Linked DNA regions of Alligator mississippiensis. The protein of the gene in region 3 interacts with the protein of the main gene of each other region in a pairwise test. Links are inferred from orthologs where the notes say so. Each region holds a gene or a part of one and is shown on either strand. Other genes may lie near its edges. The genes, in order: PPP1R3D, PPP1R3C and EPM2A.

Region 1 (3,749 bases), on a different chromosome or scaffold from region 3:
GGTTGTGTATGGGGGAGGCCATCCCCCCACTACCGCATAAGAGAGACTCTTACCAGTGGATCCACAGTGGCACCGGCCATGCCTTCATCCCTCCTAGAAGCCACCACATTGTGCTGGAGCAGGAGGAGCCAGGGCATTTTTGTTTAACTGAGTAAAAGCAGGTAATTATAGGGTTCAAGACACTACTGCCACAGAGTGAGGAGACTGCAACAGAGACATAAGCACCAGAACTCGTGGATTCGATTCTACAGCCTGGTCACTGTATGGCCTTGGCATTTAGCATCTCAAATCTGTTTCCCCACTTATAAATAGGCATAATTACTAGCCTCCCACAGGAGTTGAGAGGCTTAATTCATTAGCATTTCTCTTTTATCACCAGGTTATCTTCAGGTAGAACGGACAGCAGAAGTGCTATCTTCAGGAAGAAGTGCAACACTGCTATGGAGTTACTTAGTAAGAGCAGTTATTCAAAAAGGGAAACATCTTTTTTTTTTTTTTCCTTTTTCCAGAGACCCACATGTATTTCACATGGAAAAAAAAAAAAAAAAGAAGAGAACTTCCCCACAAAGGGCAGCCTCACAATTTAACAAACACTACGCTGTGGTTAACAATCCCTTTGACTGCATCTATAACATGCACTGCAGATAAGAAAAGGCACCAGGTTTACAACTTATTTTTTTAGGGCCACTGTCAGATAGTATCCATCTAATAGCCAGTGGTTGCTAAAAATAATGAAAACCAACAATAAAAATATTAAATGCGTTTTAAATATTAATAAAAATGGACCTAAATATAAACATTCCCTCGCAGCACCTGCATCCTAGACTTTGCATCAGTGGCACAATGCCCAAGAACCAGTGTGTAAGAAGTGGCATCCTAACAAAACTACAAAGCAAAACAGTCCATTTCCCAATGAAGTGCAAAACAGAAAGGCCGTTAAAATTATGAAACATTAGTTAAAAAAGTTCTGCCTGCGCAATCTATAGTATTTCCCAAGAGCTCTGTTTTGCTTTTAGACGTTCTAGCTTTAAATCTGGCAGCAGCGCCCCGTTGAGCCAACGCTGCCCTGCCATGCTGAGAGATCTCTTGAATCGCGTGAGACAGCAGGCAGCTTTTTAACGCCCAAGAAGTGCTTTGCAAAGAGCTCTTATTTTCTTATTTTGAAACATCTCTGAACGGCGCGACGGGCTTCAGCAGGCTTCCTGCGGTGCCACGGGAGAGGTCGCAGCCGCGTTGGTTTAGGATATCGGATTGCCCCAAAGACCCTCGTCTGCCGTCGGAGAGGGCGGCGCCGCGGCGCTTAGATGAAGTGGATCCAGCTCTCTTCGCACTCCCGAGGCATCTTGAGCGGGTGGCTCCTGCAGGTGAAGCTGTAGTTCTGGCCCTCGTTGTTATCCCAGTACTCGTGCCCGTCGACTCGGTACCGCACCGCCAGCTGGACCACGGAGCAGGGCCGCAGCAGGAAAGGAGGCACCGGGAGGAAGAACGTGAAGACGTCGGCGGGGCCCAGCCCGTCCCCTTCGGCGACGCCGCTGTGCCAGAGGGCGCACACCTCGTGCAGGCTCTGCCACCGGTCGAAGGTGTAGCGCACCGACACCTGCTTCTCGAACGCCACGTTGAGGACGCGCACGGTGCCGCCCAGCCCCAGGTCCGAGCTGCTCACGCGCTCCAGGCACACGCGCTGGCGCCGGAGCCGGGCGGTGAAATCGGCGGCGTCGGCCGGCGGCGGGAAGTCGGGCACCAGGCACTGCATGGCGAACTCCAGGTCCAAGCTGCTGCAGCACAGCGCCGAGTTGATGGAGAGGCGGGACAGCACGTGCAGGGGCACGGAGGGGTCCTCGCTGCTCTGGAAGACCTTCACTTGGGTCAGCTCCAGGCCCAAGGCGTCGGCGAACCGCACGCGGTTCATGGGGCTGCGGCAGCCCGGCACGGGGCACTGCGCCGCGGCTCGCTTCCGCCGCTCGGGGGACGTGGGCAAGGAGCGCGCTCGCCGGCGTATGATGGGCCGCAGGTCCGGGTCGCAGCTGCTCGGCGGCCGCGCCTCGCCGGCCCGCAGCCCCGACAGGTAGCTGGGGCTGCGCCGCGGGGCCCGCAGCGCCGACTCCGGCACCCACGGGCCCGCCCGCAGCGCCGCCATCGCCCGGCCCGGCCCGGCCCGGCCCGGCCCGCGGCGCTTGGCAACGCGGCGCCCGTGACGTCACGCCGCCCGCGCCACCGACGAATCAGAGCCGCGGGCCTTTCTGCGCATGCTCCGAGTAAGGAGCGTGCGCACTGGGTGTCGCGAAGCCGCTGCCCTCGGGTTGCCCTCACTAGGCACCTGCAGTCTGCGGGATGGGTAGGGGGGAGGGGAAGGGAAAGGAGGAGGGAGGAGACAGGGGGAGGAGGGCAGGAGTGTTCATTAGTAATCATCGGGGATCCTGGTTTTCTCAGAGAAAACCAGAGGATTTTTTAAAAATCAGATTAAAAAAAAAAAATCCACAATTTTTGGTTAAAAAAAAAAAAAAAAAGAACCCCAAATCTACGTTTCCGTGATTAAAATGAAATCACTCTTATCTATCTATCTATCTATCTATCTATCTATCTATCTATCTAGATAGATAGATAGATAGATAGCTATATCTATATCTATAGATAGCTCTATAGATATATATCTATACATATATATCTATCATATATTTATATATAGATAGATATATCTATGTATCTATATATCTATATCTATAGATAGCTCTATAGATATGTATCTATAGATATATATCTATCATATATTTATCTCTATACAGATAGATATATCTATGTATCTATATAGATAGATATATCTATAGATAGATATATGTATCTATAGATCTAGATAGATAGATCTAGATAGATAGATCTATAGATACCTATAGATATATATCTATCATATATATCTATAGATATATAGTGGTATGCAACAATTTTTTCTTTCATTTAAAGCTTTCGGGCACAAACAAAGCTTGAGATTAAAGAATTGTTTTGGGTTTTTTTGCAAAAATCTTGTGTGTCTAATAAAAGGGATTGTCTCTACTACGAGTCCTGATTGCCTTTTCCTTTAGACCAATATGGCTACAACCTGGATACCTGACTATATAATGGTGTTTCATTTTAGTCACTGGAAAATGTGGATTTTGGGTTCCTTTTTTTTAAACCAAAAACTGGGGATTGTTTTTTTTTCGCTAAGAGAAAGTCAGGATCCGTGGGAATCATTGACCCAAAGTCTATCATTACTAATGGATCACATTTATTAATAATTGCATCAATAGCAACTAATTATGCTCATTAATGGAATGCATCATGACATTGCCTAGCAGCACCCAGGTGAGGCCAGGGTGCCATGGGGTGAAGGCAATCGGGACTTGTGGTGGGGTCGTCCTCAAGGTACCTCAAGACAGTTGCACTAAAAGCAACTGTTCTCTATTCTTGAAGTACCTCGATGGCCACCTTACGCCTTCCACAAGTCCTGATTGCCTTCACTTCGTGGCATCCTGGCCCCACATGAGTGTTGCTAGGCAATGTCATGATGGAATCAATCAATTAGCATAATTAGTAGGTATTGATGAACATTGCGTGTCTCCCAAGGCTGGGGAGGCAGAGCAAGCTCCTGCAGGCAGCTGCTCAGCGATGTCAGCAGTGGACGGTGGTGGGCGGGGAGGAGGGAGGGCCGAGTGGTGAAAAATAGAGGACATAAAGGCATCTGGTTTCATATCAATAGAGGATAGAGGACCAGA
Region 2 (3,749 bases), on a different chromosome or scaffold from region 3:
CATCAGGTTTCCATTCTGCATGGAGAATTTTATAGTTCTGACCCTCATTATTGTCCCAGAAGATGTGCTCTCCACTTTGGTAAGAAATGCAAAATTCAGTCTTCTCTTGAATGGGAATGGCTGTAGGCAGGTCAATGGCAAATGAGAAGGTATCACTATCGGAGTCTCCGTACACATTGTTCATGTAGACACAGTCAACATTGGTGTAACTTTTCCATGTATCAAAGGTAATCCGAACCTGAACCATTTTCTCAAAGCTGACATTTTTCACTTTCACTGTCCCCGATACTGCCCTTTCTTGCAGTGTACAATTTTCGAGGCAGACAAAATTCTTTTGCAACCGATTCCGGAAGTCTAAATAGTCAGCTGAAGGCTGAGAGAAACCCAGAATCAAGTTTTTCTCTTCATGTAGTTTTAAACTGGCTGTTATGTCCTCAAGATCTAACAAGTTAAATTGAAGATCCCATACAGGATGCTCCTGGAATTCAGAGAAGACGTGTATTGCGGTCAAAGAAAGCCCTTTTGAGTCCGCAAACACAACTCGTTTTTTGGCTCGGCTTGGTGAACGGTTCCAGTCGTTACTCTGAGACTCAGATTCTCGTTTCAAATTGAGACACGACCTTAGAGGCTTAAATCTGTTAACAAAGTTGTTTCTTTGACAGTCATCAAGGGGACTGAGAAAACTCTTCAGAGGTGGAGAATGGGCTAAGCATATTCTCATGGCCACATCAACAGGCATCATAGAGGTGGGCAAATGTCTTGGGTCCAAGATCTGTATCATTCTGAAATTGAGTGGGGAGACAGCATGTTAGGTTGTTTGCTACATCAGGTATACATTGGAAGAGAGCTTCCTAAGGAGCTCCGCATGCTTGACTTCATACAGTGTCCTAATTATTCAATGCAATACAAAAAACAAACTGTGGTTCAGTTGGAGCTAAGGAATTAGCATAAATCAATCAACCATTCTTGAGAATTCTGGATTGTTTGGATTTGGCCAGATTCTTTCATTTTTCCCAACAAACCTCTCTGCAAGAGAGGATTTTAAATTACACAATTATTCAAAATATACTTTCACCCCCCTTCCCCTAGCAGATATTCATATCAAAATATACTTTCACCCCCCTTCCCCCTAGCAGATATTCACGCATGAAAGAGGATTTTCATACACTAGTACAGATCTTGCTATTCATAATGAAAGGGTGCATCTGATTTAGAAAGCTCCAGTCAAAAAGGTACTAAGCAAGTTTCCATAGATTTTGGCAAATTGGTTCATCTGGAAATAACACTATATGACTCAGGTTAGATGCTATGTTCACATCATAAATAAAAATATTTTCAAGCCCGTTTGAATTATTCTAATGCACAAGAGGTCAAGCTCATTTGATTAACAACACTTTTTCACCTAGCTCTAAGTACTAGGGGCATACTGTACCTTCTTTTGGCTAATTTAAGTTATGCAAAAAGAATGTGATTCTCCCTATCCCCCCTCCCCCCCCACCTCAGTGCAATGAGATAATATAGCAGCTCTTAAAAATGCTTTCCTTCTGCAATCATCTTTAAATTCATGTGTAAGATCTACCACTGACCTACTGTAAGACTATAGGGGTTTTATGCTACAGTCTAATTATAAACCATCTCATCCCCTAGTGACTATTCAGGAAATACATCCTGGACGTATAGGTTTGTGAGCTGGGCTTCCAGTGCAATCCTTTTGACAGCTGTCGTGTATTCTGCATTAAAATCTAAAATTCTGTTGCGTCATAAGAAGTGAGAATATTTGCTTTGTCATGTTCAGAAACAGGTTTCTCCTTCCAGCACTTTCACTGGTACGGCAGAGCAGTGCGAGAAATAGGTGGGGGAGGATTTTTTTTTTTTTTTTTTTTTTTTTTTTTAACTAGGCTCCAAGTCTCATGGCTCTGGGCTGTTAGGGCAAGCAGTGGGGGAAGACAAGCAAGGCAGCACTCTTAGCTGAACGCAGCATATTCTCAGTCTCCGGGGTGGCATACACCCCACCGCCCTCTTGGAAGTTCCCAGCCCAGTTTTCTTCCCACAAACCAGCAATTCAAATCCCGACAATTCTGCTGCTTTTGCAGCCGCCTCTCCCTCGTTATGCTAAGAATGATCGAGGAGCAAGGAGAAGGCAGGGCGGGCCCCCAAGTCAGGGCCGCCTGGGACGGGGCGCTTTCGGGCCCTGGGCGAGAGCGGGGAGACGAGAGAAGCCGGGTGTCGGGCCGGCCCCGCCGCGCTGGCGGTCACAGACGCTGCCTGCCCCGGGAGCGGGTCCCCTGGACTTACCTGGCGCAGGTGATTAGCCAGCGCGGTGCGGCGAGATGCTTCTGCTCCGCGGTCGCTCGGGTGCAGGCTCTCGCTTGCGGCTCGCCCTGCCCGGCCCTGCCCGGCCCGGCCCCGCTCTGCTGCAGCGCCGCCCCGGCCGCTTATCTAGAGCCGCGCTGCCCCTTCACGCGGAGCCGCCCGCAGCCAACCCCGCCCCGCTGGCTCCGTCCCGCTGCCCCGCCAGCTGCCGCGGCCGCCCCTGCGGGACTGGGGGGCGCTCCCGGCCAGCCCCGGGGGCCCGCATGGCGGGCTTTCTGCCGACGCACATCAGCAGATTTCAGGGGGCGCATTGCCTTGAGGCGCCTCCCGGGGTGTGGGGATCATCACCGCACTTCCTTTACAAGCAAACTGCATTTCCTAAACGTGGAGTCGGGCCTCCAGGGGTATTTAGTGGTGGGAGCAGCTGTCATGGATATGGGCTGAAGCAGCATAAGCCCGCGGGGGAGGGCGCGGTTCTGAGGGGTCCCCACTGCCCGGTGCCAGAGGCGAGGGTCCCTTGTAGGCTACTGAGGAAAGCCCTGATCCGAAACATGGGAAGGGATAAAGTGCTGCTCCCTGTCAGCGCCCCACTGCTGTCGGTGGGCTTCCCCCTCCACGAGGGGCCTGCCCGCAGGAGCTTGGTTGCGGGGTGAACATCTATCCCCGCTTATTTTGTAGGACTGGACTGGGAAGCCCTGGGCTGCTGGAAGGAGGAGGTGTCAGGAAAGCAAGGGCTGTTTATTCTCTCCCCCCCAACACCTAAGAACATACGAAAAATAGCCCAACAAGCAAGTTCACTTGGTTTCTAAATGTAATATTTTTAACCAGCTGCAAAGTGAATAACAGCCCCTCTCCAGACAGCAAGCCAGGCAAATAGCTGCCATTCGTTTCCTAATAGAAAATGTAAATGATGAGGTAGCTCCCATGTTTGTATTTTTATATATATTTAACCTTAAAGTCTGCAAATACCAGCAAGTACTGTAGGATCGGGTGGAGGAATTATTTGCAATATATTTAAACACATTGACAAGAGACAGCATGTTGTGATATTTTGGTTTACAAAGACCTCCTGTCTTGCACAGTTTTAGCAGCTCCCAGTTTGATATCTTCTCTTTGAGGCTGCATTAAGGACTGAACCATTACCCAAGTGGGACCACACTTCTAGGATTAAAATGTAGCTTTTCTTAATCCCTTCTAGTCCCCTACAAACTGCAAAACTCCACCAAAGTTGTTTCCAAAACCACTGTTCTTGAAGAAACTTTTATTTTTTTAACATCTCTTCCCCACCCCTCACCCCTTTTTTTTCTAAGTCAGGGCACTTGAATCGTTTTATGTTTGAGAAAACATTTTTCGGAGCTGATTGCCCATGGAACTGCATCAGTGAAGGTGCTGAGCACAGATCTCTGAGAATTGACACTGTCACCTGGAGGTTCCCT
Region 3 (3,749 bases):
CACATGCCAACTGACTGTGGATGACAGATCTATTTATGGCTATTGAACAGAAAGGCTGGAGGGTTTCCGGTGGCATCTCTAGCCCAATAAGCGATGGATGCTAGAGAGGGGGTTGAAGAGGGGAAGGGTGTCAGACATCTGGCCCCTAGGTCTAATCAGACCTACGCAGGGCACGGACCCTACCCATGGACCCCATCCCCCCAGCACACCTGAGCCGGCACCGGCTTGAGCCCCATGCCCAGATCCCAGAGCAGCTGAAGCAGTGTCTGCAGGGGAACAGCTTTGCAGGTCTTAAATATGAAATTACCATATTGGAAGCTTGAAATTATCATATGCTAAAAAAGCATGCAAGTTAGGCTTATTTACTTTATAATGCTCCCTGTAGGTGACAGTGAGCGAGTGAGAACTGGGTCATAGAAGTTGAAGCATTTCTTTATTTGGAAGCGAGCAGTGGTAAGAAAATGCCACCAGCAGACCCCAAAGGGGGTTGAGTCCCCAAGTGACTTGGGTTTTGCACATGCTGCGTCAGTCAGCTGCCTCAGAAGTTATCCTACATGTATGTTGAGCACTTTTACTATTACTGATCGTACTTCGTGCCGGGGTTGAAAGTATCCTACAAATACAATCTGATCGTGCACGTGGCAACGGTGCCAAGGACGCGCGACCAGCCCAGCGGCCGCCCGCTTCCTGGACACCAGCAAGCGTCTATGCCCTACGCATGCTCACAGCATGCAGCCTCGAACGCTCGCCGCTGCGGGTGGGCGTAGACCGACACTGGAGCTGGGGTGGGAAGCCAAGCCCCGCGCATGCGCAAAGTATGCAGCCACCTGCTCAGCCAGTCAGTCACGTGCCGGTCGGGTAGTGGGGCTCGAACCCCCGTTCTTTGGGGACGTCCGCGCGCCGGCGTCATGACGTCACAACCCGGAAGACGCTAGAGCTTGCGATCCCTCCGGCAACCACGAGGGGACTGAGTTTGCCCCCCTCACTCCCGGTCCCAGCCCCAGGCGCGGCCATGCTGTTCCGCTTCGGGGTGGTGGTGCCGGCGCGGATGACGGAGGGCGGCGTGGCGCTGCTGGTGGCCGGCTCACGGCCGGAGCTTGGCCAGTGGGACCCGCAGCGCGCGCTGCCCATGAAGCCGGCGCGCCCCACGGCGCCGCGGCCCGCCCAGGAGCCCACGCTATGGCTGGCGGAGGCGGCGCTGCCAGACCACGAGGCCGCCGCCCCCTTCTGGTACAAGTTCCTGCGGCGGCAAGGCGATGACGTCACCTGGGAAGGTAAGGGCGGGGCGGCCGCGACGGCCTGCCCTCCCCGTTGTGACGCAATATGCTTACGTCACGGGAGGGGCGGGGCGGGGCGGCTCTCCTTGGCTGTTAAGTGGCCCCGCTTCTGGAGCCGAATGCCGGGGGGAGGGGCGGGGCTCCTCTCGCCCCGGAGCGTGAAGGTATCGTTTGCTGCGCCTTTCCCCCATATTTACCTGCGCCCGTGTACATTTACATATATTTGCATGTGTAGGAATATAAGCGTATGTAAATGAGGTGTCACGTGGCATGTTGCTGGTTGCCCGCCCCCCCACCGTTGCTGATCTCATCCTGTGGAGCTGGAGGCTGCCCTCGGCCCCCACCTAATACATTGACATATTTATGAATATGCACACATGCAAATGAGGTGCTACTTGGCAGGTGGCTGGTTGGCTCCGCCCCATTGATGATGTCGCTGTGGAACTCGGGGCTGCCCTGTGCCACAGCTGCAGATACTGACATACATGAATATGCATGTTTGCAAATGAGGTGTCATTTGGCATGTGGCTGGTTGGCTCCACCCCCATTGATGGTGTCCTGGCTGTGGAGCTCAGGGTTCCCCTGGGAGGAGGCTATGAGGAGGTCTCGCCTTGCTCAGTCTCCCTCCAGGGCCCCCCCCCCCCCACGAGGGCAGGTGGGCCACATGGTACCTCTCCACCTGCCTCAGCTGGTGGCATCCTGGTGGCCCCTTCCTTTGCGCACAGCAGGGCTCTGGCACCCACTGAGCATGTGGAAGCCAAGAGGGGCAGGGAGGACCTTCAGCGCAGCGAGCACTGCACCCATTGTCCACCCTGGGCTCGTGCCAAAGCCGTGCCCTGCACAGGTATGCAATCAGGTGTCAAGCCCATGCTCTGTGCACGCATGTGAGAGACATACAAGTACAGCTTCCCCACCAGCATGGTACGCTGCATCTCAAGCGAGCTGCATCATCAGGAGCATCAAGCCTGGCTCTGACATCGTTCTCTTGCTATTCATGGCTATCAAACAGAACGGCTAGAGGGTTTCCTGTGGCGTCTCTAGCCCAACAAGTCATCACTTGGATGTGTTGGCCTTTTTCCCTCCTTACCCACCTCATGTGCTAGTGCTAGGTGTGATCAATCTGTGGCTCGGGAGCCACAAATGGCAGGAATAATAGCAGGGGGTGGCATGTAGCAGATCAGGCAGCGGAGAGGCAGCATAGAGGTAGGGAACAGAAAGTGGAGTGGCTGATCAGGCAGGAAACATGGACAGGGAGCAGATAGCAGAGCAGCGGATCTGGCAGGGAGCACAGCACAGAAGAGGAAGCACAGCAGCAGATTTGGTAAAGGAAGGGAAGCAGAGTGGCACTCCCAAGAGGGTGTGGGGCTAATTTGTGGTATGCCTGCTAATAAAGTTGGCCCTCACTGCACAAAGCCATCAAGTGTTGCATAGTATTTGTCATGTTAATTGTGCTATTTCACTGAATATCACTGTAGTATCTTGTACAGAGGAGAGAATGAGTATCCTGACATTTGCTGAACCAACTAAAAATTGAATTGATTTTTTTCTTAGCAATAGGCATTATAGATGGTGGATGGAGCAAAGTTGGACTTAAGAATCCTTACTCTTTTAATAAGGAGCATCCATTCATTTTTTAGATTAAAAACATTTTTGCATTTTACCTTTTTTAAATAGTTCCTTAAAAGCTGAATCTGTACACAGAGGAACCGTGACAGCACAGCTGCACTTCGCACATTTGGAGGGATACATACAAAATCTCAGGAGTTACTTACACCTGCTTGGAGGAAAACAAGTTGCCATAATTGCATGTAAAAGAAAGCAAAATAAATACACTGAGGAAAGAGAATAGTTCGTTAACATTCAGTCTTCGAGAGTGACATTTGTTTGTGATGTAAATAAGATGTGCCACTGATTAAATTTCTTGCATTTAATGACTAAATTACACAGCATGCTCTACCTGTTTTGATAATATCTTTCTTTTGCAGAAGTCCTGGAAAAGTGAATTTATGAAATCAAAATCTCTCACTCATCCAAAGGATCAATAGTAGGTGCCAAGTTCAGTATAATAATTTGCTAGGTTCTTCTACACATATCATAAGTAGACTTTCAAAGTTTACACATTTTATAGAAATAGAGCTTCATGTTTTGAGCTGGCTTTGGTGTCAGTCTGAAGTTATTGCCCCAAGGCTTGTATGAGAAACAGAAAGCTGTGGAAGCGTAGGCAATTTTAACAGCAGATATACTGACAGTGGTTGACTTGCTCCTTGTAGGAGCAGTGCTCATGCAAGTGTTACGATTTTGAAGCTGAGTTATTTCAGTCAAAAATAAAACGGCTGGTTTATCTAGAGCGGTGGTTTTAAACCTTATTATTTGTACTTGAGGTACCCCTGAATGGATTACAGGCATCCTTTTGAAAATGCCACAACTCTTTCTTTTCATTTGCTTTTTGACTGCAGAAAAATAATAGAGCAA

Evidence for each region.
Region 1: the proteins of EPM2A (region 3) and PPP1R3D interact in a two-hybrid assay, tested with the Homo sapiens proteins (2 studies listed by BioGRID, with this or other methods). The link is inferred for Alligator mississippiensis from reciprocal best matches to the Homo sapiens genes EPM2A and PPP1R3D.
Region 2: the proteins of EPM2A (region 3) and PPP1R3C interact in binary tests that used the Homo sapiens proteins (3 or more experiments, as listed by UniProt). The link is inferred for Alligator mississippiensis from reciprocal best matches to the Homo sapiens genes EPM2A and PPP1R3C.

The regions. Positions count from the first base shown.
Region 1 is NC_081832.1:7,444,667-7,448,415, reverse strand, and holds the start of PPP1R3D (protein phosphatase 1 regulatory subunit 3D), read right to left. Parts: upstream 2,148-3,749; 5' UTR 2,138-2,147; coding exon 1,301-2,137; 3' UTR 1-1,300. UniProt on the Homo sapiens protein: Seems to act as a glycogen-targeting subunit for PP1. PP1 is essential for cell division, and participates in the regulation of glycogen metabolism, muscle contractility and protein synthesis.
Region 2 is NC_081829.1:68,912,540-68,916,288, forward strand, and holds the start of PPP1R3C (protein phosphatase 1 regulatory subunit 3C), read right to left. Parts: upstream 2,429-3,749; 5' UTR 2,296-2,428; exon of another isoform or gene 1,906-2,295; intron 783-1,905; 5' UTR 782-782; coding exon 1-781.
Region 3 is NC_081824.1:125,595,887-125,599,635, reverse strand, and holds the start of EPM2A (laforin), read left to right. Parts: upstream 1-776; 5' UTR 777-1,012; coding exon 1,013-1,274; intron 1,275-1,339; exon of another isoform or gene 1,340-1,441; intron 1,442-3,262; exon of another isoform or gene 3,263-3,321; intron 3,322-3,749. UniProt on the Homo sapiens protein: Plays an important role in preventing glycogen hyperphosphorylation and the formation of insoluble aggregates, via its activity as glycogen phosphatase, and by promoting the ubiquitination of proteins involved in glycogen metabolism via its interaction with the E3 ubiquitin ligase NHLRC1/malin.